2 linked regions of the Lonchura striata genome follow. The protein of the gene in region 2 binds, or shares a complex with, the protein of the main gene of each other region. Links are inferred from orthologs where the notes say so. Each region holds a gene or a part of one and is shown on either strand. Other genes may lie near its edges.

Region 1 (15,228 bases), on a different chromosome or scaffold from region 2:
TCTGGGGCTGGCAGTGAAGGGACCTTGCTGCTTCTCTGCTGGCCTGGGGCCTCACACCCCTAATCTTCCTTAAAGGCCTTCTCATCCACTATCCGTTGTCTGCATCCCCTCTTCATATGTCCCTTCTTTCCACAGTAGAAGCAGACAATTTCACGACCTCTTCCTTTTCCTTCCCTAGAAATATAACTCTTCTCCCGATTCTCCCTTTGTTCTACATTCCTTGCATGGGAATTAGGGTTAGGCCCTTCCTGCACACTTCCATACAATAATGTATCATTTTAACTTTGTCTTTCCCTTTTCTAGATGGGAAAGCATCCCAATTAATTATCATCAAACCCAAGGGGCTTGGGAATCTGGGGAAGCTTAGCATGGGTCCCCTCTCCCATGGGACCAGAGGGCTTGCTTTTCCTCTGTCCCATCTTCCGGAGTGCACTCAGTTTCTCACACACGTGCTCCCCTGGTTCGTGGCCCAGCCCCTCGCGGGGAATGGAAAACGCACTAATACAGAGTCCGCACTCACTTGGTCTCCACAAGACCTCTCACACACAGCACTCCGGGAAAACCACCCCAAACCGAGCGGGAAACCGGCCTATACTCACGCGTCCTGCGTCTTCGCTGGTTCTTCGTGCACAAAGATTACAGGGGTAACCGGTTCTCCTTTGCCCGTTACTCAATTTAGGTTCGTCGGTGGAGAGTGATCAGAAAGCCTGGGGCAGCCGGGCCGCCATAAGGGCGGGGCGCCTCCCGATCGTCCCGTAGCGACTGATCTACTTCTCCATCCGAGTCACGGCACCAAATTGTTATAAATTGTGACACGGCAATTTGAAGTGTCTTAATCCAATAAAGCAATTTTATTGAAAATAGCAAGCGAGTAAGGCAGGCAAAGCACAGCGCTGGGCGGCCGGGGAGTCTCCTGCTCCACCAACGGCGCGCAAAAATGTTCTGTCCCAACCTTCCTTTTATCCCCCCCCTTCTCCTTGCAGGCGTGACTCTCCAGATGTAGTCTGAGTCTGGTCGTTGTGATAGCTTCTAAGTCTCTTCTTTTGAGATGCAGCAAGCAGACCAGATACACATACCCAGGACTCTAATCTCAACCTCCTTATCACCTTGTAAGCAAATAAGCATTTCAAAGACACACCAGTACATTCTTATGCAAACCAAGGTAAGCGAGCATATCACAGTGAACAAATGATCTTCCACTTATCTCAATTCATATGTTTTCTCTCTTACCATTTTGACCCCACTCAGGAGGTGCAGTTGGCATTTTCTCTTCTCTGGGAGGCCCTCGTTGATTTTCGTTATTCTAGGCTTTTATGCCTGTAATTCTGATAATTTCCCTTTCTTCTTGAGAAAATAGTATCTTTATTATAGACTGCATTTCTTCTTAACTATAGATGTTTGGACTTAGAAATTGGTCTTGTTCAGCAGTGCCTATGGAATCTTTCAAAATCCTCTTGATTTCTTATTTAAAATTCCTGACCTCAGAAGAAATCAAGGGAGCATTCACAAACCTAATTCCACCCCCTCTCATCGGGACCTTTCTTAGTGGAAATAGACCAATTTCTTTAGCCCAGTCTTTTTCTATAGTGTTATAAATGAAAATTTATTCAGCCAAATTAAAAAATAAAAATAGTTTTATTTGTGGTCAAATTCTATCTAGCCAGCCATGAAAAAAAAACAGTGCCGAGCCCGGGGATCGACCCTGGGTGTGCAACAAGGAGTCAGCCTCAGGAGAGGTTTTTCCCCTATGCCCACACGCCTCCATCCTGGCACAAGCGGTTTTTATAGGGAAAATTCCACCTGAGGCCAAGATTTTCTGCAATCAGTCTTTTCTTCTATTTAGAGTCCATATGTTAATAAGATTTTCTCTTGGAGATGAGGGAGAATAATTCAGTGTCCTGAGTTGTTGAATCCCGTGATGAAATTTACGGGAACGCTGCATTCACATGTATCTGTCTGAGGATTTCCATGATACCCATCTCGGGTCATTCACGCGATGATCAGCACCTGGGGTCCCCCGCAGCTCTTCAGACATGGCCCATCTCCTGGCGAGCTGTACCTTCTTACTTGTAAATCAGTTTCCAATATACACCTTGAGGTGTGTATATTCAGAGAGGAGAAGGGGGGGTGGGGGGGGGAAGAGGCTAGTACAGACGAGTATAATCTAACAAGTATTTAACATTATATATTCCATACAAGGAATGGCGCAAATTATGTTTATTACCCATAACATATAGCCTTTCTCACGTGCTGTGAGGAAGAGTCTGGAGAATGTTGCCTCCTAACTGAACTTCCTGTGTTCCTATAAGGGGAACAGATAGAAAGACTTTCTCGGAGCTGAGGCTGCGGTTCCCGGGGAGCGGAGCTCCGGGCAGGAAGGGGGTGAGGGCAGGGCCGAGCGCCCAGTCCTGGTCCTCCGAAGGCGGAGCCCGGGCAGGGTGTGCTGCCGGAGCCGCTGCAGGAGGGGCAGTGCCGGGGGCACCAGCCGGGAGCGGGATCGGCCCGCCCGCGGTTAGGGGCGGCTGGGCCGGTGCTCCCGGCAGAGGCAAAGCAGCAGCGGCGGTGCCCAGCGCAGCCGGGACGGGCAGAGTCGCCGGGGCTGGGGCAGAGAAATCAGCCGCGGGAGGAGCCCCGGGATGGGCCGGGCGGGAGCGCCGGGAGCCCGGCGGGCGGAGCAGCCGGGCGGGCCGGGGCCGGGGCCGGCCGGGCAGCCGCGAGCAGCGGGACGGGGCCGGGCACAGAGGCTGCGGGCGGCAGGACGGGACCGGGATAGGTGGGGCCGAAGCGAGCGGCTTGCTGTGACCCGGGACAAGCACCGGGACTGGGGCAGGCGGGACCGAAGCGGGCAGTGAGCCGGGGCCCGGGACAAGCGGCTCGGCCGCGAGTGGTGCGGCGCGAAGAGGAATGGAGAGGGCAACACCTGTGAAGGATCCCACTCCTTTTCTTTTCTTCTTTTTCCCTCTTGTTCCCCTCCCTTCTCTTTACCTTTGTCTTCTTTTTTACTCATTTCCTGTCCCATTTTCCAAAATCTTATCTTTTCATTCTATTCCTTTGTTTCCCACATTCTCTAACAACTTGAATACCACCTTCTTTCAACTACACAAAAAGTCCTTTTTCTCACAATATCATTTAACACAATATAATTCAACACAATCCACCTCCCTCCAAGGAAATAAAGTAAAGCTTAAAATAAACAATCTACATTACATATACTTCTATTCATCTACATTTACTCTCCTTTATCTCTCACTCACTCACACACATTGACACCCTCAAGCCTGTTCATTCATAATTATTGACTTCACAATTCTGTTATATATACTTTCATTTGCCCACGCTCACTCTTTTTTTCACTCGCTCTCACATACAAGGTACCTTTTACTTTCAAACAATCTATATTACATATCTACATATCTACATTTATTCTGAGTGCTCTTGGAATGTAACCCTCATCCATCAACCCAGGAGGTTTAATCCTGGATGTCTCTCCATTCTGCAGGATTTTAACACACCTCTTACACTTTTAGGTGTTACTGGCCAGTTCGAGTGTTCTTGGCTATCCCTCAATCCAACCGTAACCCCAGATTCTCTTGGATATCCTTCAGTCTGGCAACTCTGAGTGCTCTTAGGATGTTAATCCCTCAACGTAGCAAATTTATGCTCCTCCAAGGAAAACCCTCTCTTTTTACCCTTTTATTTTTCTCCAATTAATTATGCCAAAAAAACCTCTTTTTGCCTTTTAATTACCCAATTAATTATGTCAAGAAACCCCTCTTTTTATATTTTTATTTCCTATCCCCCCCACCAAGGTGTCCCACTCCTTCCCCGAGACCCAGTCTCAGGTTCCCCGGGGGGGTTTCTCTCACTCTTGTTTTCACTCACTTCGTCTCTTTACTGGCCGCTTTTCTTGTGAAAAATACGGAAAGGCAGCATGGGAGACTCCGCTCTCACTTGGCAAGTCTGGGATAACCAGCTCACCTCTCATTCACACGCATTCATCCCCCCTTATCCACCCCATCCCAACAAATACCTATTCTTTGTCCTTGGGTCTTTGTTCTTCATGTACACGTTAATCTTAGGGGCTAATTACTGCGGTTTTAGGGAATCCTTTCCCTTTTCTTTGTTTTATTGTCTCCTTTTGTCCCTGGATTAAAACCTGTGTCTGTCGGTCACACACCAGGGGAACAGAGCGAGGCTGCCCAAGCAGGGCAGGATGCGTCTCTTCACTCCGAGTCTCCTAAGGCACCGGCAGAGAGCTGTTAGTAACCATCCTCTGCTACCATAATTGTGAAAAATGCCAATCACTTGGTTTTTAAAATTTTAAAAATTTAATAATAATAAAATGGTTATAAAAATAGTAATACAATTAGAGTAATAAAGTTTAGAGTTAGGACAATTATAAGACAATAAAAAGCAAAGAATTACAGACGTCTGGATGCTCTCAGACACTCAGTAATGAAAAGCTTCTCTTGTGAACAAAGGAATACCCTTAAAAGCAATAGCCTGTTGCATATTCATATATCTCATACACAATGCATAAATTCCTTGCAAATTAAGAACTTTTCTGGTTTTTGTCAACTTCTCTTTAATCTCGTTGGTTCTAAAAAGATGGAGAGAAGGTCGAAGAATGTTTGTCTTTTCTGATAAGGAGGCAGTAACTCTTTATGGGCCCCGTCACTGACATCTCTGTGTGAAGAGTTTCTTCATTAGCTTATCTTCTTGCTTGAGCTTATAACAAATCTTATATTGTAGAGTTTTTATTTTAACATTATGTTGTAATTTAAAACTACATTTAACGCACTACTTAAAAGAATTAGTACAGCATAACTTTCTAACATTACACATATAATATTTATTGTAACATTTGTGAAAAGCCAATCATAAAATATGCATTTTTCACAACCCCAGAGCTCTTGCCCGGCTCCTGCCCTAATGAACACTTTTGCACTCAGGCATTGAGTTATTTTTCTTTGTGAAATTACCAAAATATTTGCAATTGATTTCCCACAGGCAAGACCTGTTTCCTGCAAGACCTGCCCAAGAGCACATTCTGTCTGGAGATTAATTTCAAGTATACCGTGGGTAAACTAGATTAATTTTTTTCTTCAGGTCCTTAGTCCTAAAGTATAGATTTTTTTTTAAATAAAACTAAGATGCAGTCTAATAATTCTTGCATGTAATTTAATCCCCTTCAGCTGTATTTGTAAAATTAACCATTTCATCTAACGCCTGTCAGTTTTACAATTAACAATGGGCACATTAGCTACACTTAATGCCTTGACTGTTTTCCTTAGCAAAACGTGAATTTATTATGAGCAACTTGTTTTCAAAGTCCTCCCATGAACCACGAAAACTTGTGTTCTGCATTTTCATATTGCAGCCTTCCGATGCAGGGGACAGTGTAATTTACATCTTTATTGAAATCATTGGTTACACTCTCTGGCCAGCCCTAGCACTGTATGAGGCTTCACTATTTCTCATTTGGCAGGCATGTGGGCTGGAGATGCTGCAGGATTGCGCCTGAGGAAGGTGTTAGGTGCTTTTCGATGCTTGTTTCCCCAGCGCCTGTGGCCCAGCAAACCCAGCCCTGGGCACAGTCCGGGGGTGCAGGGGCAGCTGCAGGCACCAGCAAGGATGAGCAGGCTCAGAATCATGGCAGCTCAATCCCAGAGCTGAGGCAGCAGCTGGGGAATAACACATCATTGTTTTATGGCACACAAACGGGCTTTGGGTTGGTGGAAGGTGGTCCTGCTTGTGGCAGGCGGTTGGAACTAGAGGATCTTTAAGGTCCCTTCCAGTGCAAACAGTTGTCTGAAATGCAGGGCCATTTGCAGGCACTTTGAATATGAAACTTCCCAAATTGTAAAGATAACAAAAGGTAAAATTGGAACAAATATGAAAGGATGAATAAAGCAAGCCTCATTAAGTGACTTCTGAAGTGTATTCTGCTTAAACATCAATTTGCCTTAAGGAAAATTTGCTCTCTGCTCTTCAGCAAGGAGCAGTGAAATGAAAAAGTCTCTTTCATTAGCACCAATCTACATATATATATATATATATATATATATATATATATATATGTAAATATACATGTAGTTGCAAGTGTGTCAAGATTATTTTTCTTTGTAAAGTGAAGTCACTGTTTGGTTTCCATTATGAAAGGAAATGTGCATATCCTATGGGCTAAGCAAATACAGATGCTATTTTGCACAAAAATACAAACCTAAGTGACTATTTTAACCTGGGCCTACACTGGAGTAAGATTATCACAGGTGTTTCTACTGGACACAGACCTCATACCCTGCTATTAAAGCAGCCACAAAAATATGGGCAGAAATAAATCTGAACTCCAGAAATGTTACATCCCATTCTCCCATTTTAAAACACATTGTAAGGAAAACAGCTAAGTGAATGCTCTGTACCAATTAAACAATCTTCAGCCTAGGACACAACTCACTGCAGCCATCTGGTATGGAAGGGATTCATCCTGTGATGATTTTGACAAGTGTTGGAAATAAAAGCAGAAAAATAATAAATTAGCATTTATCAGTATGTGTAAGCAGAAGAAGCCTTCTGCATTAGTTACTGCTTCCACCAAAACCCCAAAAAAAAAAAAAAAAAAACCCACAAAAAAAACACAAACAAACAAACGAAAAATCCAAACCCAAACAAACCAGCTTTGCTAAGGCTCAAGCTCTCACTGAGCAGTTGGATGACATCCAGCCCTTGAGTGTGTGTCTCCATCAGCAGGGCAGGGCTGTCCTGCCAGCTTGGAAAGCATAAGGATGCTGTAAGCACCAGGCAGGTACAGGTGTCACTGAGCTGGGGAGGTGGCCACACTCACCCCTCACAGTGGGCGCAGTCAGTCCCAAGGTCTGTTCATGCATCAGTGAATGGAAGAAGAAAATTAACTTTAAACCAGAAGCAAGGTTGTTTCCTACACTCAAATCTTTCAGGAGAAAACTGGAAACAAGGCAAAACTGAGGAAGAATGTGGTATTAGATAAAATATCTTAACATCATTCCTATTAGTTTAAATTTGCATGTGTTTATGTATATACACTTCTGCTTGCACTCACCACCCTCAGTGAACTTCAGTTTAATAAAATTGTAGTTGTTATAAATGCAAGCACTCATATTTCATACAGTGACACCTCTGAAGAGCTGGAGGGACTGAGCCAGGATGATAATGAAAATGCAAATCAAAGGAACTAAAATGCCCATGATAAAAAGCGAGAGCAGAGGAGGAAGTGCCAACCTCCTGTTTTGCCACTGAGGTTTCTGTGGTTAATTTATAGGGTATCAGGGAATGGAAGAAACAGGTTGAAAAGAGCTGACTTGAGAGCAAGCACTGAAAGGAAACAACGAAAAACCCCAAATCTTTGTGGAGGGTGAAGACTATTGAGGTGGATTTTCTTTTTCAGCCACTCATTTCTCATCCCTCATTTTAAATAATTTCTTCCCCACAATTTTCTTTCTTTACAGCTTCTGCATTCCTTTGTTTTGTGTCGTTAATTCTCATGCAAAGAAAATGGTTTTTTCCCCTTATTTCAAATTACTTTTGCCTGTAGCAGATGTCCTTTTACATTTCCTTTCTTCTAACAGGAGGTGTAATTTCTAGACTCTTCCCCTTTGTGTGGGTAAGGTGTGTACTTCAGACTTCTTTTGGCCCCTTGCCAGCCTTCAGTCCCTTTTTTTTCATCATGAACTGTTGATACTCTGCTCCTGTCCCTTGCTGTTACAGCCTCTCACCTTTATTCCCCTGCTGTGCAAGGGACCTTCAGAACAGGATTTAGGAATACATTTTATCTGTTCAAGGTCTACAAATACTGACTTTGATGTTGCAGATGTGGTGGATTAAGAGCATAGTTTAATTCACCAATATTTTGAACCAGTTCTTAATACTGACAAAATGAACCAATGTTAATTAACCACTAGCATTTACTGACATGTGCCCTCCCTTAATAATGATCAATTTAATCTGTGTATGTATATATATATATATATATATATGTGTGTGTGTGTGTGTGTGTGTGTGTGTGTGTGTGTGTGTGTGTATCTCTGCAGAATTAATTAGCTTATGAAAATACACCTTTGGGCTGGTCTGTTCTTTCACTGAGCCAGCCAGCTCATGAGTTTGTGAATCTGAATTCATGCCTTTCCTCTATTCCTCTATTTCCTTGCAAATTTTGATTTAAATTGTTGACTTACAACAGAAACTACTATATTATGCTTGAGCCAAATAACCTAAAATGTTTTTATAAGATAAGAATTGTGCAGTTTTTGACAATAAGGGGAGTGTTTGCACTTATGCAAGCAACTTTTGGGTGTGGGTTGGATTTTCATGTCAGCTGAAGGCTGGACCTGGTCCTTGAAGTTTAGAGAATCTCAAACTGATAGACACTAAATATCTATGTATTTGGGCATTACATACAGTTCTGAGGGATGGGCTTGAAAGGGGAAAACATGCATCAAAAATTAAGTGAAGTTATGGTAATTCAGGATGTGATAGTATTTTTCATCCTTGTAGAAGAACACACTCTTGAATAAAATGCATAGAAGTGTCTTTCATTTTTTATCTCTTTCTCCAAAATGTCCTTCTAAATTCAGGGTGGATTAATTCCAGATTCTGCAACTGTGGACAAAATTTGAATTTCTCCTGGGACTAAAGTGACCTTCAATATCTCTAGAGCAAGCTTTTTGGTTAACGAACAGAGGAGTTTCCCTCACTGTTTAACCCCAGTATAAGGGCATTGTCTGATATGCCTGAGCATGTCTGCTTTCTCAGAGATAATTGCACAGCTGGAAAGCTGAAGTCAGTACTTTGGAAGTGCCATTCCTTCACGCTGTCTCAATATTTAGGTATGAAATGTCTGTGGTTGCCTTTTGGATCAATGTGTCTGCTGTTGTCCTGCTGCTTTCACCAACATTTTGGCTTTGTGAATGGACAGCTAATTGGCAGCCCAGGAAAAAATGTGAGCTTTACTCCTATGGCTTTTATTTTGCTTTCAAGAGGTTGAAAACATTTAGACTGATCAGTTCTGTTGATGGTTTCTTTTTGATCTGTTGTTCTTGAAATCCTGTCTGTCCTCTCCATCATGTTAAAAGAGCAAAAGTAACAACTAAAATAAATATTTTCCTGCCTTCTCTTTCAGATAAAATTGAAGATGAATTAGAAATGACGACAGTGTGCCATAGACCCGAGGGACTGGAACAGCTTGAAGCACAAACCAATTTCACTAAAAGAGAACTTCAAGTTCTTTACAGAGGATTTAAAAATGTAAGAACGGTATCGCAATGAACAGTCTAATATCTATGTCCTCATCAGCCTCAACTGCTCAGCTCGATTTTGTATTATTCCCCTGCAAAGCATTACTAGTTTTGTATAAGATCTCCCATACCACAGCAAAATGAGCACAATCTGCCTCTCCATCCAATATTTATGACACTGCAATCTGCCTAAAACTGGGTTTGGATGAATATTCAGCACATAATGGTCTCGTTAAATTTGTTCCTCAAATGTCAGTAAGCACAATTCCATTTCCTCAGCTGTGCCAATACTTGAAGATAACCTGAAAATATTTTTATGCCTACTTATTTAAGCCTTGCTGTCATCTCCTCATGTTCAAATATAAGTGGTACTGTTCACTTGTAATTAGGTGCCCAGGATGGAGATTTCATCCCTTCTCTAGCTGCAGAAATCTTGCTCTTGTAGTAGAGCACTTTAGGACTTCAGGGTCCTGTATAAGTAGGGAATAAGGCTGGAGTGGCAGGAGCCAAAGCGAAATCAAAACTTGAATGTGTGTTAAGACTGAGGAGACCAGAGAGAGGCTGCAGATTTCTGGGCAAGCAGGCAGCAGTGCCAGCTGGCATGACTGAGTGTGAAGAGCAGCTCTGTGCCCAGACTTGTGAGCCACCATTCCAGCAAGGCTCCCTGGGAGCCCAGAGTCTGCAGCTCCTCAGCCTCAGCCTGGCTCTGTTTCTGCCTCTCAGGGGCTCCTCACAATCAGGAGAAATTGATGGGAAATGTTGAGGCTTCATGGAGCAGATGCTTTATGGACCTTGAAGAATGAGTACTCATTACATGTTTGCCTGAGGGTCAGGATTTAGTCACCCAGGTGGTTTGTGCCAGCTGATGTTTTAATGGTGATTAACAGGTCAGAATCAAACTGGCTCAATAAACACAGGATGTTTTTTATATTCTCTTGCAGGACAGCTCCAGCATTTAGAAACCATTACAGCAGAATGCTGACATTTCTCAGTCAAGTTTATTGTGTAAAAACTTGTCAAAAGAAAGCTGAGCTACCTTAAATACAGGCAGTTCTGAAGAACCTGTGGGTCTTTGAGAAAAGCCCTTCTTTTTGAAAGGTTTTTGAAATTTGATCAGATTACATTTCCAGTGTATATTTGACTTTTCCAAGGAGTCTGGTGGTTTCACCCTTTAATTCACTGCTCACCTAAGTGAGCCAAAGCACAGCTCAGCTTTCTGTATTTTTGGTGGTGTGTGTGGCATATTTCTGCAGCCTTTGATGCACACAGGAGGTCATTTCATGTGTAAAGTTGCCTAACTGAACATTGATATCTCTTTATGCTTTTGCCAGCCAGCAGACAATCACAAAAAGAGACAAAACTTGGCAGGTTAACACCCTGATATGACATGACTGCCTACAGAGTGAGATTAAACCCAGTTTTGCTAAGATCTCTACAGTGCCTTCTGTATCACTGTCAGGTGGGAATCCTATGTGGGAGAGCTCTGCTTTGTGCTGGGGGCATTTGCAGCTACAGAGGCAAACCAGTGAGGCAGACCTGGAGCACTCAGCACACAGGACCCTCTGCCTTTCCCAATTCTGCTCCACTTTGCACTACAGAGTCATTACTTCCCAGGGCAATAGTGGCAGACAAGGGCATTTAACTTGTGACCTAAACCTAGGACATCACTGAAAGTCTTGATATTAATTGGCAGTGATGGCAATTAATTGGCAGTGATGGATATTAAGACATATCTAGATATAAACCAAGACTGTTTTTATCCAGCTGATCTACACATAATATATGCAAAGTTTCATGTATAAGGTTTAAATGAACATGAAAGTGCAACTTTAACACTGGTAGCTTGAAAATCCTGGTTCCAATAGGATGGGTAATTATGTACAGGAGGCAAACTGGCTCATCTGTTACCGTATTTGCTATTGTACCAAACAGTCTGTTCCTTGGGATGATGTTACAGTGACATCTGGAAATTCAAAATCCCTGTGGGAATACAATAATTTTCCTCCCTGGCTCGTACTTACTGTTTATTCTCAGTGATTATTGCACAGGTCCTGTTTAATCACAAGGCAACACCTGGATAATCACAGAGCCATTTGCAGGAGCTGGTGTAGGGGACAGAGGCATGAAGGTCCTAGCTGCAGAGGATTTGGTGTGCAGGAGCAGGGATGGTGTTCCACCAAAGGCAGCTCAGCACAACCTGGGCTGGCCTCTGGACTGGTCCTTGTCTGACCAGGGTTCTAATTCTCAGTACCTTTAAAGCTGTTCTTTCTTTGTCTCTGAATTCTGTTCCCGCCCCCCACCCCCCAGATAATCCCAGTCTTTACCCAGGGTGTCACTAATCTGGCCTGGTGTTTTTGGCCCAGAGTGATAGAGGTTGCCACTAAATTCATTTCCAGAGAAGCCAAGCGTGCTAACCAGGCCTGTATTATTGCTGCGTGGCCAAATGTCCCCTCTCTTTGCCTTCAGCTTGCCTTTCCAGTTGTGAGAGTGTGCCACCCTCCAGCATCTCTTGGTTCCAGGACCAACAGTTCACATTTATTTAGCAGTTGCCTGTGCCCACTTTATGTGAATGGTCTCCTTTGCACCTCTCTGTTAGCTCTGGTAAGACTGGAGCCCGGCTAACATGAGGTGTTTGGTCCCATCTCTTTGGTTGGGATTCTAAACAAGTAAAGTGACAGGCAAACCCATCAGAGCTTCTGGTGGGTCTTGCTTTGGTACAACTTAACAAAAGAAAATGTGATACTTTCTGTCTACAAAACCACCAGAATTGTTTGAGCTAAACAGCATTATTGGCACAGGAACAGAATGGCCATGGATAGGCATAGGCTGAATTAGAAGAAGATTTCTGCCCCCACAGAGGTTTGGTGGCCAGTTATGGAATTACAGGGAGGAGAGCAAGGAAATATTTTTATTATTAAAATTGATAAATTGATGTCTAATTAAGTGACCAACAATACGGAGATTTGAGCTCAGTAATTCAGGATCTTCCATCTTAGGCCATGTTTCATGGCTTGCATTCTTTGGAATCGAGTACATGGATTTAAAATAACTGGTGGTTTTGTAGGTTTTTTTTGCTCAGTTTGGGAAGGTTTGTGCTGTTAGGGGAAATGCTTGTTAGCTACAAGAGATAATTTCTTAATATTGAATCAGAAAAGACAACCCAAATGACTGAAGGGTTGCTGAAGACATCCTTACCTTGCTTTAGTATGAGTACTTTAGCAAATCTGTAACAAAGGGTAGTATGATATGTAATTTTAACAAAGCAGGATTATGGAGGTTAAAGTGAGCAGTACAAGCAAGGGAGAAATATTCTGATACTTTAATAATCCCCAAAACATCTCCAAAGTGGGAGAACATAGAGCAACAAACTACATGGAATGTGTGAGTGCTTAGAGATGCAAATCTGGATTGTGCGTTTGTCTGTGGTTGGCTAATTTGCTACCTCTAATTTACAAACTGTGACCCCTGGGTACTCATCCTCATATTCTGGCCAGCTGAACTGAGGAGGGTCTGAAAGGCAGGGCATGCTCAGCTCCCCTGTGGTCCCTGCATCTCTGCTTTGCACATCTCTGGAAGCAGTCAGTGAAGTTTATTTCTGATTCCAGCAGAGGAAAAATGCAACTGCTGTTTTATTTTCCTTTTGGTTTTGTGGGTGTGTGTGTTTGGTTTTCATGTGGATTCAGCTCCTTTGTGGCATAGTGATTTAAAAGAAGTGGGCAAGTTCAGATGCACAGCTTGTGCTGCCAGAGCTTGATAGTCAGCCCTGGGAAAACGAGGGTTTTTTTCCTGTGCTTGATGACAACACACACAAAAAAATGTTCACTGTTTGGCATTTAAAAAGAATTATTAGGTTAAGGAAATGAGAAGTGTAAACCTAAAACCCTGCTATCAAAGGAAAGCCTTATGAATACTACAGTGAAAGACTGTGTTCTTACTGACAAGGATTTTTTTCTTGAATGAGTGAACCTTTATTAACTTCAGTGGAATTTAAATTGACACTAAGCTCACCTGCTCTGTTTCACAACAGAGATTTCTTTTGAGTCAGCAGAATTAAGTAGTACTATAGCACTAATGAGGCCTCTGGAGCATTATTTGGCTCTTATAAAACAAAAATTGTGATCAATTAACTGCAAATAAATTGGTAGTAGCATATGTGTCTGAAAGCAATCCAGTTATAGAGAGCTAAATGGGCTGATCAATGTCAGCACTGCCTCTCCCCAGAACTCCTAGAACTATGATGCAAACTTTTATTTGGCTTCCAGATGGAGCATCAGAAGCAATAAGGATCACGTGGAAATTCAGAAAATTAAGCAAGCCCAATGGTCCAACTGCCAGGGTAGCCCTTGCCCTTGTGAGAGAGCACAGGCAGCTGCAGCAGCAGCAGCCATGTACACATCTCTGGCAATAAACACAGGGAAGGGACCTCAAGGACTCTGCAGTTGAGGGAAACATCTACAAACCATCTTTCAGCAGGTGAAGTTGTGGTTCTTAGAGAATATAATGGTTCTCTTGTCACAGGAGAGAAGGAAATAAATCTTGATGTAGCACTGTGCTGGAAAGGATGGGCCAGTTGTGCCAGACTTGGTTTTAAAAAGAATGACAATTTGGTGAAATACTCTGCAAGGACCCTGTGCAATCTTGTAGCAACAGCACTTCAGTGACCAAGGAGAACACTGCTGCCCAAAAATGGCTGTGGATACAGTTCTAGGTCTGATCAATTATTAAAATATACCATAAATAAATATCAGATTATTTATTTAATGCATATTAGCTTACAAGCTTCAGAAAACATGAATATTTAGGAAATATTTGGGAGAATCTCTTATGGTAGCTGTTAGATTCTATTTAATTATCTTCCTTTGATGATTTCTGCTTTAGAGATGAAAAAGTAACAACTTTTCTTGTGTTAAGAAAACCAGACAACGCATGTTTTAAGAGGAGCTTTGGATCAGTTTGAGAATGCTCATCTAACTAGAAACCTTGCAACCTCCAAAATCATGAGTGGCACATAGAGAAGTTGTCATATTGACTGTTTGCTGGCTCTGTCTAAACAGCAGTTGAGGACTATCAGGCAAGGTAATAGGAGTCAGGTCCAAGTATGGAAAGATGGTGGTTCCTTGTGCAAAGGGTTATATTATATTAAGTTCCTGGCTGAAGCACCTGTGTTAAAGTGGGGCAGGGATCACAGCGTGACACAGAGAGGAATGCATGGAGTGAGTATAATGCCAGGAACAGAGGAACTTTCTTGATTCCAAGTCTGCCATTCAGCTCAGAATAAGCACCAAGCCAGGCTATATGCTCCAGTTCTGTGAGTTTTGTGAGAGGGAGTTAGCCTGCTCAGATAATCCATCTCCAGCACCTCCTAGCAGTAGGGACAGTGCTCTTGCTCCCTCCTCCCTTCCTGATGGGATCTTGGGGAATTAAATGGCTGAGTGCGCTCAGTGCTGCAGCAGGAAACAGGCCCAGGGTCTCTATTGATCAGTGGCTCAGAGTGTGGGAGGAAGCTGACTTTTCTGTCTCTGCAATTCTGTGCTCTGTGAAAAAGACTGAGTGCTGTGGTTATTTTATTGGTTTGCTTTGGTTTAATTTTCAAAATTGGTTGATAGGCAAATTTGAGGAATAGTGCCATCAACTGGGAAGTATTTTTTCTAACTGAAAATATCACATGGTTAGGTAGCAGTGCCCAAGGCTCTGTAATGTATGTTATAGCAGCACTGAGCTGGTGGGGGTGTGTTTATTATTGAGGTTTGTTTGGAAGGACTTAGTGTGCTATGGACTGTTCACCTGGCTACAGTCTTCTGCTGAGGATTAAAAACAGTGATGAAACTGCTGAAAACCCAGTTTTAAATGTTAATAATGTTGAACCAGCTTTGTGAGATGCTTAGGATGAAACTGCAGACTGAATTAATTTAATTTCTCCAGCTGCACATCGTGTGCATGCAAAGTACTATGAGAATAG
Region 2 (15,144 bases):
TGGGTTTGATCACTTAAAGATTCTACTAAAATGACAGTATTCACTGATGATTACTTGAATGATAGGCCCTAGTTAATAGATCAAGCACTAGTCATAATTACTCTCCGACATAATTAGTTCTGCTGTACTAAGAATATTTCTATGCTACATCCAGGTCCACAGTAATCTGATTGTTCTTATTCTTGTCTCAAAGTAACAATAAGGAAACAAAACTCCATCTGTTTCTACCAAAGGAGCAAATATATTTCTGAGCAGAAAAATCTTTTTGTTAAGCATCACCTTCATGTTATTCATAACTGAACTAAGGAAGTTCATGCTCAAGACAAATGAGTGAAACAAGCAAAATCCTTTTCCTCCAAGAGATTTTCAGGGTTTTTTTGAATACAAAAGCTGGTGCCCAGTGCAACTAAATAAGAATACAATTACTCTGCTTTCTATCAAGCAACAACAGCCCAATATATTTTCAGTAATCTTTTTGTTGCAGATCAAAGAATTTTTTTTTTTACTGCTATCAAAATGACCCTTAGTATAACAGATTCTCCCTGGAGCCCTTTTTGAATATCTCGTAATGTACTTTGAAGGTGATCACAACTACACTTTGTCCCTCCTCTGTTGTATAGGTTAAATGTCTCTGCTGTGAAGAGAAAATAGATTGAGACATCAAACACAGTTGTAAAATACAAAATCCACGAGGTTGTAGAAGACAAAAATAGAGGAATTCTATTTGAAATAGGGTTGATAATATCAAACAAAAAATGAATGAGAAATATGTACGTACAAGATACAGAAATAATACTCTAACTTTGTGAATCTTTACATTTGTAACACTAATAAGTGTATTCTTTGGATAAGAATATATCCAAAATTTAATGAAATTTTTCATAAAACAAAGATTTTGAATTTTGTTCTTTCTTGTCAGATTTTATTAAACTCAATTTTTTAATAAAATTTTTAAAGAGATGGATTATTTCCAACTAAAATGCAGAGACTATAAGGAACTAAACACACTGAAAATAGCACAGTGGTGAGAAAGGGGAATATGTGGTGGCATTTGAGAAAAGCAGTGTTGATGTGGAAATTTTATGATGCTCATAAGGAAAAATATATCAAACAAAGGTCAGAACAAAAAATCTGTTCTGAAGAAAGTTCAGGTCAATGAATGACAATGATGACAAAAGATTTAATCTAGTGGTGAAGGATGAATTAGGAATCTGGAAAAAAGGAGCAGAAGAAAAAAAAAAATACAGCCATCAAAGTCTTACTACAAATGTTAACCTCATCTTGAAGACGGGAGGAAAGCTGTCAACCAGTAGACAAACCCCAACCATGAAAACTATGGCAAGTGGTAGTTGGAATAAATAATGGAAAAAATAAATAGATACAATATACCATAGGAATGAAAAAAGAGTGGAAAAAAGACTGAAGATGACAAAGAACATGAATGCAGGAAAAGGAAATCCTTTGCTCTCTTCCCTTGTTCACTGTTTGAGGCTTTCTTTTATTACATCTAGTAATCTGTTTATTATAAAATCTTCAGAGAATTTGATATACCTTAAGTGAGTTTCTTCACACATTATGGGCTATATTAACAAATAGTGAAAACAAATAGTTGCTTTATCTTTGCTGAAAGACACACCTCTAGTTTATACATGAAAGCAAATAAATGAGTAGTTGAGTTTAAGTTTCCTTTCATAAAGTATTCTGCTCATCTACTGAAGCGTTGTGTGACTTGATAAAGCTACCCAATGTAAAGGCTATAAAAATGGAATTTTAATACAGCAGTGAGATTGCTTTAAAACTACTCACAGAAGAGCACTACATTCCTTGTTTAAAGTATAATATCTTCATAAAACACAAACTACACTATAGCTCTGACTGACTTGGGAACAAACAATAGCCTTACACCATCAAAACCTTACCAGCTATTTCAGCTCACTTGCTGGCTCCTGACGGGGCAGGTGGAAATGTATTAGATTGTCATGTTGTCAGGCAACAGAACTGTCATTATGGGTGTAGATGTTCACAAGCCCCTGTGGAGTTCTGCCAGTCCCAATTCAGTAGACTTGAGCTCTTCTCTCTGTCATCTTCACACTAACCTCATTCTTTACCTCTGTGCTTTCCACTATTATCTTGAATCTCCATAAAATATTTTGTGACCTCTTTTAATGTTATTCTATTTTCTCTTCTTGTTTCTACTTTACTTTTGCCAGAATTAATCCTGATAAAACACTACTTTGAAGTTCAAAATCAGACAGTTCAGTTTCTGGAATTGTGCATGCTATTTTTCTAGAGACATCTTCCACTTCTTTTTCTCTGCCTTTATTTTTCTCTTGTTCTCTTTCTTCCTTTGCTCCTTTCTTCCCTTCTTTTCATTTTTTTTCAGCTCTTTCATGTAACATTTCCATGTACATGTACTACATGAGCTGAGCAGTCAAGAGCAGTTAATAGCTGGGATATCCTTGGAGGTAAAAATATAGTAATATTTGAAGTCACTAGCACTCTGCAATCTATGTTTTTTAAAGACACTTTAATTGCTCAGCAATCATGCAGAACTGAGAAATATAGCTCTGCTTCCAAGGTAATAACTCCCCAAATTGCAAAGGTTGCTTACTCAATACCCTTGCTATCTAGAAAAATATGACAATGACACCAAGACTTAAAAACTCAATTCTATGTTAATCTATTATTCACTGTTAGCTTTCATGGATTTTTGTAGTATTTCACATAACCTGCTGTGTGCTACTGTCATTTAAAACATAAAGACTTAATCAAGCTTTGTTTCTAAATGAGAGAAGTTGTTCCTATTGAGTCCATTTATATATCTCTGATTCAGCTACAACTAAAGTTAAAATGAACAGGAATTCTATATTAGTAAAGAGATGGTAAGCTTTAGCACACAGAAAAGGTATCAGTAAGAATTACAGTCAGCTTTCACTGACCCTTGATGCTTTCCCCTATAACTTCCCTCTCCTTTTGTGTAATTATCCCATCAACTAAAAAGATTTCAAAGGTTTTATTAGGCTAATTTTATTTAAAGTATTCACATATATATATTTAACATTTAAACATAATCTTTACAAAGTTATCATGATGTTATTAAAAGGACATAATCTAGCTAATGCACTGATTAAATATTTCATAAAAATTGGAGATGTCTGTAATATTTGAACCTCTATCATACCTGAACTCCTGAGGGTAAGACTTTGGATCTCTGTCCAACATGCTCAAAACATTCTCTGTTCAACATGCTCAAAACATTCTCTGTTCAAACTACCTTAAAAAAGTAGTCAAGCAGGAGAGGATTCTCTTTAACCCTTTTTGTTCCACTTGGGACCAAAATATTATGCTGTTGTATACGTAAAAACAGGTTCTTAGGTTCTACTCAAAGAGATTTGAAATTATGTTCAAATTACAGCAGTACTTTTGAAGATTTTACTCAGAGTAATACTTTAAAACCTGGAATTACAGAATAATACTCATGTACATGTGTATGTGTGTGTGTGTGTGCAAAAGAAACACACAAATCATACCAACACCATCTATGATACCATACCTGTGGAGGAATCAGTTGCAATTTGGGCATAAAACAAGAAAAGTTTCTCTTCAGTACCATGGACAAGAACTTCACACATTGTTCATGAACATGGAAACAACATACTCAGAAAGTACCTTTGTTACTTAAAAAAACCATATACCAGCTTCTGGGTTTTTTTTATAGTAAAGTATCAGTCAATTCTTTCTTTAAAACATCACTGTTCTAATTAAAAATAAATTGTAAAAAGATCAACATCAGAAAATACAGGAATGTGGATCTAGTTACCATGCCTAACTTGTTTCTTCTTCTAACTGGTCCCTTCCATTTGTCACTGGCAACAGAAAATGAAAACCAAAAAGCCAACCAGGAAACTAAAAGGTGGATTAAAATCCCTAAAGCTCTTGTCACTCCTTTTTAGCATAACTTGCCCTTACAAGAAGTATGAAATATTTACTATGCACTATATTTATCTTCATTTGTTATATCACACAGAAGATAAAAGCCTTGTATAAAAAATGGTGGCATAAGACATTCCTTTTATCTTTTTCAATATTTTGTATGCGTGTTTCCCAAGTAAATTACTACTGCACATAATAAATCAAGTTTTCATAATAGTTTAATAATGCACTTTCATTTCGTTAAATTTAAAAGTTATATATGTTTCATAAATCTCAACGGTCCCAACAAGACATGGCAAAATGCTAATAAAATTATGGGCTTGCCTTAATGAAAGTGCTAAGTTTGTAATTTAGTATCTGTAATTATTAAATAACTAGTCAGTTTGCAATGAATCAACAAATTTTCAATTTCATAGATGGTATACAACTCAAAATTAAGAATAGGGAAAAACTATCATCTCAAATTAGTCAACTTTCTAAATCTCTATTGTAACTACAGACAAATGCATTTTATAACTTGGTGCAAAGAATCAGCTATACAATCAGACACTGGTATCAGAGACTTCATAAAATAATACTTTCTCTCATCTTTCCATTAAAATGCATTACCTTCTAATGTCAACAGTGACACTTTTAAACCCTTTTTCTCTGAAAGAAATTGTATTGCCATTAGAATTGTTTAAAAATATATGCTTGATGTGTCATATGTCTCACACTTCGTCAGATCATTTTCTGGAGTGTCTCACCAGTCGGTGTAGCTTGAAACCCATAATTTAAAAGTTATAGGTCCATGAAAATCAAAGGAAATGTGTTCAGAGTCTTAAATAAAATCACGAATTTTTTTTTTTGTAAAGACAAGGTATGATTTTCATGAAAATAAATCACTTTGTAATAACAAATTCAATATCCAGGTCTACATCAATACACAAAACAAAATGGCAGATCCACATACTGATCAAATTAAAAGTTTGCACTTTGGTTCTCCTTAAAAACATTAATAATTAAGCAACACTGTAACAGAGCCTGCCAGCAAAGACAGTACTCCATTAAAAATCCACTGATAACTCACACATACTCATAAAACATTCCAATTTCGCTGTCCAAAACCAAACAGTTTCAATACTTTTTTGCTTTGTTTTGTTGTTTGCTTTTTCAGGTTTTTTGCAGTTTTTTTGGATTTGGGTTATTTTAATTTCAGCAATGCTATTAACTTAAACATGTAAAACACCTAGAAGGAAGTCACAAGTTGTATTCTTAAAGTTTTGTAGTAAAAACTTACCCTCACATTTTTGTCAATCACCGTTTTTTTAAATTGAGTATTTTTCTGTTTGTGCCAATACACTTGTTGAAATGTTGGCTGTAACCAAACACCAGCTGCACTTACCCCAGTGTTGTCATGGTGACAATGGTGTACCAGAAGGCTGCAGGGATGCTGGTGAACTTGCTGGCTGATGAACCTTTCTCTGCATAGTACATGACTGTGGCAAAGATGATGATGGCCATAGTTAGTGAGAAGAGGAGGAAGCCTAACTCCGAGGCACAACTTTTCAGCGTATAGCCCAGGATGCGCAGACCCTGTGAGTGGCGGGAAAACTTAAAGATTCTGAAGACACGAAAGACTCTTAATGTCACAAAAGCCCCACTGACATCCTCGTTATCTGTCATCACCAGGCCAATGTAATATGGCATAATGGCCACCACATCAATGATACTCATGACACTGCGCACGAATTTGTAGCGACTAGGAGCTGCCAGCAGACGTAGGAGATATTCAACTGTGAAGATCATGACACAGGCAGTATCCAGACAGAAGAAAGCCACCGCATACCGCTCTCCACAGGGCAGCTCTTTGATGCGACCCGGGCTTACCCCACAGGGCACTGTCTCCACCACATTGGCAATAACAGAGACAGCAATGAAGAAACCAGTGACATAGTAGAACACCAGAGCCAGGGTACTGGTGTGTGGGTTTTCAAAGGCCCGCCACATCCTCTGACGAGCTGTCATTGAGGGTAGGGAGCTCTCAGCTACGTGATCCGTATCAGCATCATCCTGCAGGCGCTCAGCATTCTCCCGCCGGCGATCCTTGTACTCCTCATAACAGCAGTCACCAATGATCTCAGGGATGATGCCGAAGAAGGCCAGCTCCTCATCATAAGCTGAGATGCACTCCTGGCGGGGATAATGAAGCTTCCCAGTACGGTAGAAGTTGAGAATGTGGCGGAAAATGTCAGGGTCCCGATCAAAAAAGTACTGCTGTGTCTCAGGATGGTAGAAGAAGTCCCGCTCTGAACTGCCCAGCAGAGTGTCAGGGTAGCGCTCTAAGGTGTCCAACCATGTCTGGAACTGGATGCCACTCACATTCAGCACAATCAGAGAGTCCTGGCTTCGCTTTCTCTCCTGCCGTGGAGCAGCTGGCATGGGACCAGTAGCCACTGGCATCCATCCTATGGCTGCTGCCCTGGCAAAGGGTAACCAAGCTGCTACACCTGCCGCCATGGTTCCAAACACCTATTACAGCTAAGGGAGTCAATCTAGACACAGTTCTGGTCCAGCCACTAAAATAGAGAGAGAAAAGAAAAATACAAATTCTCACACATTCTTGAGGCAGCAGAATTTCTGAACATTTTTGTGATATTCAGTATTAACTGAAAACCCTTCTGCTTCCTTTTTGTTCCCTCCACCTTTTCACCCCAGAATACGCTTTCCAGGTGATGGTCAGACTGTTAGGACAATAAATGAGGGCACTTGGAAATCCCTGTATTCAAAGCAGCATCTCTAACAGCCAGATCCTTTGGATATAAGGTCTCCCTCCATTCGAGGCCCCTGGATGGAAGCAACAGTCCTCAAATCACTAGCCCCTGGAGCCGGCTAGTAGCTCTAGTGCAGCTGTGCAGCCACCTGGAAGATTTTCCTCCGCGCGCGATGCAGCCGGTCCCCCCGCCCCTCCTCCGCTCGCTCCCGCCCGCCGCCGGAGCGGGGCCGCGGCAGCCGGCGGAGCCCTTCCCTTCCCGGGCGGCCGCAGCGGGGCCGCCGGCGCCGCTCGCCGTGGAGGGGCGGAGGGGATGGGCCGGGAGGGCCGCCCCCCTTCCCGGCGGCAGCCCTGGAGCAGCGGCGGGAAGAATCCTCTCCCTGACCTTTAATCGCCGTCCGGGGACTCCTCCAGATCCCGGCTAGGGGCCAGGGGAGCCGGCGGGGCAGGGGGAGGAGCTCCGGGCGGCAGCATTAAACTTTAAGGCAAGTTTTCCGTGCAGGAAACGCTTTGAAGGGCAGAGGGATGCCGGGGATGGGGCGCCGGGAGCGGGGAGCGCCCCACAGAGCAGGAGGGGACAGAGCGGGGCTCTTCCCCGGACGGAGCATCAGGGCACGGCCAGGGGCTGATCCCCGGCGAGGAGACCGGGGTCGGGGAGAGCTCCCGCGGTGCTGGCGGGGGCAGGGGCGGGGGCTCTGGAGACACATGCAGTAGGTGGGCTGCCGGGGCATCCCCGGGAGTGCCCGAGCGGGCGGCGGAAGGCGAAGCCGAGGGAGGCTGGCTGTGGAGCGGGAGAGGAGCAGGAGCTCCCTGGCGGCGGGGGAGGCCGGGGGCGCGGGGCAGGGATGCGGGGTGCCTTAGGGCTCGGCGGTCGGTGGTGGATCATACCCTCCCCCCACTCCCCCCGTACCCCCGCCTCCTTCCTCTCGCCCCTTCCCCTCGGCTCAGCTCTCCAATCGCTCCAGACGTGCCCAGTCTGCGGCACCTACCTGTGAAAGTCTGGCGAGAGCGCTCAGTTGCATAGAGACTTTTGGAAATACGGGCTCTGCCGCTAGATCTCCGCGCCCCGCCGGGAACGGCGGGGAAGTAGTTGCTCCTGAGAAAGCTTGATCGCATCCAAAGGGACATCGATAATAAGGCTCTCCCCCACCCCCACCCCCCTCCGCCACCGCCGAGCGCCAAGCAACAAGTTCAAGGGGTGGGTGGGGGGAAAAAAACAACGTAATCGCGCCTGGCAGCTCTTGGAGCACGTCCTTGCGGGGCGCGGATCCTGCGGCGCGGGGCCGCTGTCAGGCGCGGCTGCGGCTGCGGCCGCTGCCCCTGCCCTGCCGCGGGCTGCGGGCGGCAGCGGCGAGGCCCTGGCGCGGCCGGGGGCGGGGAAGGGGCTTCCCGCTGCCTCCCCCAAGGCGGGCGGGCCATGCCACCCCGCCGCGCCGCCGCCGCCCGCGGGCGAGGGGCGCATGGGCGGGCGGCGGTGCGGGCGCGGGGAAGCGCGGGGCGGGCGGGCAGGACATCGCTCCGCGGGCGAAACAAAAGGGATGCGGGCAGCCGAGCCGGCGGCGGCAGGGCAGGCAGGGAGCGCGGCTGTGCCGGTGTGCGTGTCGGTGTGTGTGCCGGTGTGTGTGCCCGTGCGTGTGCCGGTGTGTGTGCCCGTGCGTGTGCCGGTGCGTGTCTCTGCGGGGCCGGGATCGTGCGGTCCAACCCCTCCGCCGGCAGCGCCGCACAGACCCTCTGGAGTTCGCGGTGCTTGGGGTAGGGATCGGTCGGCGGCGGTAGCTTAGGTGAGGTACCGAGGGGATTTCTGGGGAGCGCTAGCTGCTTTCAAGGGAAAGGGAACCGTTCACTGCAGAAAAGGGGGAATGAGATGCCTGGGAGTGAAGTGTATGATGCTCCTCACGACCCGCCCCGAGCCACTCCGGAGTTCTGGTTGCAATGTCCAAATGGCTCTTACCAGCTTTGGGAACGGCGAGAGCTGGGACGGGTGTGGGAGCCTTTTCCTCCTCCTCTCGTTCCGCTCCCGTGCCGAGCCGCGTCCCTTTTCCGGACGCTAGATGGCGCGTGGATGACGGGAAGTGAGCTCCCGCCGGGGCCGGGCCGCCCCGCGCCGCGCGCTCCGCTCCGCGCCCGGCGCTCTGCCCGCGCCGCGCCGCCCCGGCCCCGCCGCGCCTCCAGCTGCTGCCGGGCGCGGGCTGGGCGGGCGCCTGATTTCCCGAGCCCTGCGCGCCGCTCTGATAGTGCCCATAAATAGAGGGAACGGTCCATATTTTTCAGTCAGGATTCTGAAACCGCTCCATGTCTTCTTCATAGACCTTGCAAGAAGATACCAGAAGGTATTCCTCCTTCTAATTTGCCTGTGTTTCCGTTTGGTGGTAAGAGGTTTTGAAAAAAAAAAAAAAAACACAAAATAAATAGGCTCCTTTACATGTGAAGTTTTTACAACCAAACCTTCCACTCTGATAAGCAATTTGAGATATATGCCAAAGAAAACCAAAGCAAAAATAAACCAAATACACACTGAACTTTGGGAGTTAACTCTTTTCTGTATTTTAATAATATGCTCAGCTTCAGTATATATTCACTTCTAAGTTCCCATGAAAAAGATGAACACTTTCAGTATTGTAGCCTAACCTACAGCCTAAATTGTTCGTTCAAATAATACTCGAAAGCACAGAGAGAAAAGGCTTAAAAATGTTTGAGTACAAACTCTAGTATAGGAAAACTGATTACATATATCAAGTCACTTGAAATAAAATATCACATTAAATAAAAGATACTTTCTGTATATTTGCTGCACTTGTTTGTTGATTTGTTGCTTTACTTTCCTGAAAATAAAGAGGTTTCCTTGTCAGCTATAGATTCTTCTTGTAGTCAATAACTGCTCTTATTTTTTTAACATGCCTAGCTTTACAAAAATCAGTGGCTGGCTTAAGTTGATCTTTTTCTTTAGAGCTTTTCCTGAATAGGAATCTCACAATAAAGAATTTTCTATTCATAGAGAGAACCCGTAAGAACGGGTGCCATTAGAGAAACACCTAGATTCCTGTTGCAATCTTAAAGTTGTTTCAGAAATTTACAAGTTTCATTTAAAAAAATGGAAAAAAACCCCAAACAAACCCTATATTTTTGGACAATTTTGGGTACCACATAGCATTATAGCATTTAGTCTGTTTTAAGTCAGAGGTTTGAAACCATTTGAGGTATAGAGACTTTTCTGACACCCTTGCCTGGAAAAATGATTGCCTCACCTTAAAGTTTTGTGGACACCCAGTGTATCAGTCATCTTTCCAAAGCAGTGTCTTGGAAGTAAAAGAATAGAGTCTATTGACTCCTTAATTAATATGTTACTGAGAAGCAATAGCCAGGAACTCAAACTTTCACAGCTAGTACCTTATATTTAATTCATTAAAATTGCCTGGCTGAAGTATTCCTTACTTCATATGTTTCAGAAGGACTAAATCTTGCTAAATAAAGTGTACCTAAATAATCAGGTCTTTCTAAGTCAAAATCCTGCCTGTGAAATCAGAATTGGCCACAAAGAGATTGGTGTGATGTGACAGGGAGGATTATGACTTCAAGTAGGAATTAAATAGCAGGGACTCAAATGAGACAAAAATCCTATTTTCAAGGGAAGAAAATAAATCCTAGTAATTGTAGGAAAAAAAGAAAATGATACTAGGGGGAATGCACAATGGGCTCTAAGATGAGCTGTTTCTTAATTCATTCCAAAGTCATGAGACACAAAGAACTCTCTGAGGATTAAATAAATTACCAGCTATGATGCAGAAGTTTATATTAATGAGCTTTTTTTTTTTCCTAAATATTTAAAATGTTTGAAACTGCAAGTTTTCTTTACAGACTGAAAGCACATGTGTACCCCTCTTTTTAATTCGTCTAGTATAAGACAGTTTCCTTTTGAGAAAAAAACACTGCAGATGGTGTTTTGTTTTGAGGTTTGTTAGGTTTTGGTTTTAGTTTTGTTTTTTTCTTCTTTTTTTGTTTTGTTTTGTTTTTAATGAAGGGAACATTCCTGAAACCATCTAAGTAGCAAAAGTCCAATATAAGAATTTCTAGAATACAGGCCCATTGAAGAACTAGGTTGTGAGATTAAGAATGTGTCTCACAAAGGAAAATGTTTGATTCTACCTTGCAAAGATAAAAAAAATAGTGCTTTGGTCAAACATGGAATCAGCCCAAACACCTATAGTCAAAGACTGCAGTTTCTTTGCCTTCACAGTTTTTTTTGTTGTTGTTGTTTTTTTGGGGTTTTTTTTGTTTTGTTTTTTTTCCTAAATCTAGCTGGTTTTTGTGCTTTGGGCCAGACGGAATAAGGAAAAGGCTTTTGGTAATTTTTCCAAGACAAAAAGTCATTTTTCTGGGAGTTTGCTAAAATAGGCTCAAGTCACTCTGCAGTGCAAGTGCTTGGTGTCCTTCTTCCTATGTGGAGAAATGGATTGCTCTGGACATTAAAAAATCACCTCTCACTGGTCAATGATTAAGACATACTATGGAGGGAGTGCACCATAGACACCGTTTCTTTTAGATTCTGAAGTCAAACTGAAAGGTAGTATAGCCACCACTTGTGGGAACCCCAGGCTTGCTCTGGGGTTCCATGTGGTGGTGAAATTTCTCCTCCAACCCGTGCTTCCAAAGAAAAACTGCACAGGCTCTTGCTGTTCAGTCTCAAGGCAGTTTATTGTGAGTTGTCTAAAAGATTGTCTTCTCGGGCTGCGGCTGCTTGGTCAGCGGCCCAGGCAGAGGCACACACACACCCTGACATCCTCTCTATCTGCTGTCTTCTTCTTCTCCCTCCCGCCCAGGGCTGCTGCTATCTTTTATATGATATATTACGTGTTCCATGTTTACAGTTTTCCCCAGTACCTACTACCTAGAGTGCTTTTCTACTCTAAACCAATCTGTGAGTGCCAACATCACCAAGAACATGGAGGCAAGGAAGAAGAAGGAGGAAGAACAGGATCCGCCCACTTTCCTCCATCTTAGAACTTCTGACCCCCATGTACAAAGTAAAAACCCCCCTGTACAGATGCTAAAACCCCCCCGTACAATACTAAAAAAAATTCCCCTCTGTTTTGTAACTACTTTTACTATATTATCTAACCTTTTGTGACTGCTTGTTCCACCTCCAAAGTTGGTAACTCATTCCATGGCTCAAACTCAAAATCACAGCTGTTTCCAGCTGCCTGTCGGGATCTAAAATGCTTCTGACCAAGGCCTGGAACCTCTAAAAATGTCTGAGGGACATTTTGAGTTCCAACAACCACTAACCTAAAAAAAAAAAAAGACCCTTACTTCTGTGGAAAAAGGATTTTTTTATGTATTTATTACAGATTTAAAATCTGGAACATGAAGGCAGAGCTGTCAGCATTGTAGTTTCTTTTTTTCTTAGTGTGAGGCTAAGTCAATATTTGGAATCATCTCAAGAAAACCATAGACTCCTCCAAAGAAGGGACTAATTTGATCTCAAATATATTTGCTTTAACTTTTCCAAACCAACAAATACTGATTTAGTCATTATATATGTTTTTCTTGATGTATAGGATATTATATGAAACATTAATTCTGTTAAACTATTAGTCTTATTAAGTTCTGGGAATTCCTCTTTAGATTAGTGATATTGTACCCATCAAAGAAATGTTAAGTAACTTTTAAATTTTACTTTAGATAAAGACATATTTCTCCTTTTGAATTCATGTTTTGTTTCATAAGGTATCTTCAAACAATTGTTTTGTCTGTGTAATTAGACCAAATTTCAACCAATTTAGCTTTAAACACCTGTGGTATCTAATTAGGAGCCTTCTCTCCGTGAGTTCTTGGAGTCAATAGAGGGAGAAACAGCTCCTGAAAGCAATCTATCCTACCTACAATCTCAGTGTATGTAGGCAGTTGCCAATTGCCTATAAAAGGCAGTCTGGGATGGCTGTGGTCCTTAAGGTATGAGTCTTTGCATTAGGATATTTTGCATTTAGGCAAAATGGTCCTGAGACTTAAAGCCTGAGCCAGTCTGCTGCATCAAAAGGAAACTACCCTGGACTTGAAGTGCCTTTAAGGTCACATCCTTAGAAAGAGAAACTAAGAGTGAATTCAAGCAGAAAACTAATTAATGACTACAGTTCATACTCGTGGTTGAACTGAAGCACTTTGGGAAGCCTATGACAAAGATGCCATTTGCCAGATTTACTCTGCATTGCCACTGCCACATTCCTAAGCACATGCAGAATCTTCAGTGTCATCAAACACTCCTGTTTCACTCCAGAAACAAAATTTTAAAAATCAATTTTTTTTTACTTCACAGTTTTTGACTTAACTGTCTTTTTAATTTTTGTTCTCTATAACATACAGCATGGGAATCTTTCAATCTGCATCCAAACATTACCATTTTAGATACTTCTTTTTTCTTTGTATTCCAGGAAATGTAGGGTTTGGATGCTAGCCACCTTCCTCACTCCTGCAAAAACCTCACAACGATCAATGGCTCCCTGCCTAATTAGTCCCATCTCTCTTATACTGCGAATCCTTTCTAAACTGTTTTGTTACTAGATTGGCTCTGCTCTTCAATACCTGACGTGGAGGGTACCCAGAGAGGAGTATTGCAGCTCTGACTGAGAGTGACTGCAATTGTATCCTTCCCATTTTTAATAACTGGTTTCTGTTCCAGCAAAACTTCTATCATTTCAAGTTTCAGCAGCTTTATAGGACTCCTATATGAAAGAGATGAATATGTGCAAAAATATAGTTAATAGAAACAATGTGTCATTCACTGGCACAGATGAATATAGAACATTTTTCAGAAGTTAGTAGATTGAATAAAGTTATTATCTTACTTTGCAAATCGCTTCCTTAGTCCATCCAGCTCTTAGCAAAGAAAGAAGCCTGAGGTCAGTCAGGCTGGCATGAAGCTGGTAACTCTTCAAAACTGAGAACATCTGGAGAGCTGCCTGTAGGGGCACCTTTTATGCCAGTAATTGCTAATAGCCCCTGTACCACAGTTCAGAACAGGAAATAGAAACCTTCTTTTATGTTAATGATTGCTTTCTAATTGCATAAACAGCAATGAGATAGCAGTCATTTATAGAAGCTACTCCTCCAGCTCAGGGAGGAAATAATTTTTTGTGGTGTTTCTGGTGGCATTGCTGTGGTGAGTGTTGAGTCCAAGCTTCCAAAAGGGAGAAAGGATAAAATAAAATATCTTTTCAACAAAAGTGAAGCATTACTCATGAAGTTTTTTTGCATGAAATTAATTTTAAAATAAAATTGAAAAAATAATAAAAAATACAAATCAGAAAAGCTGGCTTTTTTTTTCACTTTGGTTTTATTAGCCTGGAGCAGAGTCAACAGTTTACAAATCCTGAGAAACATTTAGTTAGACTTGATATCATGGTTACTGCATGTCATATGATCCTTGAAGTTGTAAAATAAAAATATTACAATCAAAAACTGTCCTAAAATTAGTATCATTATGATCTATATAGTCCCAAAAAGGACTATATCAGAAGATGTTAGATTTACGAATTATTTATCGTCATCACAAAATTAAACAAATATTTTATTGTATGATTAGCAATACTTCACCTCAAAGACAGTTTTCAGCACAGGCTATTCAGTTATAAGTTATGCCGTTAAAAGAGTCTGACAGCTTGCACAATATTGTTGCTGTCCAAGTTAAAAGAAGTATGTTTCAATGAAATCATACTTGCTTCATAGGAGGCCATAGCTTTGTTTACCAATTAAAGATAATCTTGCTGTAGTTTCATCATTCATAAATCAAATAGCAACAAAATATCTAATTTTAATTATAACATTTTTAAAGCAAGATCATAAGAAACCAAATCATCACAATGTCAGACCTTCAGTTTCCTTCCAGATTTGTATGTAGCATTGCCCAGTCATTTAAAAAAGATTGTTATATAACATAAAACAGCCTCAAGAATAGAGTAGTTAGGATGTATTTTGTTTACAATGTGTGAATCAAAAAAAAAATCAAAACATAAGCCTGTTCAATTGAATTAAAATTAAAGCAATACAAAGTAGAAGTGTGAAACACTAGACAGTAGACACATTTCTATAAATACAGCTCTGTAAGAAGAAATAAAACCACTTGTTTTGTAAAGATCCCAAAAGCAGTGAGAGTTTGAAAACGGTTGAAGTCCATTTACAGCTTCTGGTCTGCTTTCATTATCCTCTGCAAACCAGTCATATAATTCACTGTGAGTTTGGTCATTTAATTTTATCTGTTATACTGAATGGAAATGTTGTCTAGATGGGACAGCAGTCCTTCCAAACCCCTTACTGTACTCTTGTATTTCATCCTCCAGTAATAGCAATTAGGGCAGAAGGTAATGTAACATGGAAGGCTTTTAAAAAAAAGAGTAGCACAGTGCAGCATAACTATTGATGTCCGATTCCCCACCCGTTTTATGTCTAAGGAAGGGTGATCTCATTAG

Evidence for each region.
Region 1: the proteins of KCND2 (region 2) and A-type potassium channel modulatory protein KCNIP1 are in contact, whole or in part, in a cryo-EM structure (PDB 7E8E), measured with the Homo sapiens proteins. The link is inferred for Lonchura striata from reciprocal best matches to the Homo sapiens genes KCND2 and KCNIP1. Residues at the interface, in NP_036413.1 of Homo sapiens: Ala2, Val5, Ala7, Trp8, Pro10, Phe11, Ala12, Arg13, Ala14, Ala15, Ala16, Ile17, Gly18, Trp19, Met20, Pro21, Val22, Ala23, Ser24, Gly25, Met27, Ala29, Pro30, Gln33, Arg35, Lys36, Arg37, Thr38, Gln39, Asp40; in NP_001030009.1 of Homo sapiens: Thr60, Arg62, Glu63, Val66, Leu67, Arg69, Gly70, Phe71, Asn73, Glu74, Phe85, Ile88, Tyr89, Gln91, Phe92, Tyr101, Leu105, Phe109, Phe122, Leu126, Leu129, Leu130, Lys137, Thr141, Leu144, Tyr145, Val162, Ile165, His185, Phe189.

The regions. Positions count from the first base shown.
Region 1 is NC_134617.1:17,654,746-17,669,973, reverse strand, and holds the start of A-type potassium channel modulatory protein KCNIP1, read left to right. Parts: upstream 1-8,760; 5' UTR 8,761-8,761; coding exon 8,762-8,861; intron 8,862-8,921; exon of another isoform or gene 8,922-8,974; intron 8,975-9,154; coding exon 9,155-9,279; intron 9,280-15,228. UniProt on the Homo sapiens protein: Regulatory subunit of Kv4/D (Shal)-type voltage-gated rapidly inactivating A-type potassium channels. Regulates channel density, inactivation kinetics and rate of recovery from inactivation in a calcium-dependent and isoform-specific manner.
Region 2 is NC_134607.1:33,255,630-33,270,773, forward strand, and holds the start of KCND2 (A-type voltage-gated potassium channel KCND2), read right to left. Parts: upstream 7,830-15,144; 5' UTR 7,675-7,829; intron 7,171-7,674; exon of another isoform or gene 7,019-7,170; intron 6,492-7,018; 5' UTR 6,433-6,491; coding exon 5,318-6,432; intron 1-5,317. UniProt on the Homo sapiens protein: Voltage-gated potassium channel that mediates transmembrane potassium transport in excitable membranes, primarily in the brain. Mediates the major part of the dendritic A-type current I(SA) in brain neurons.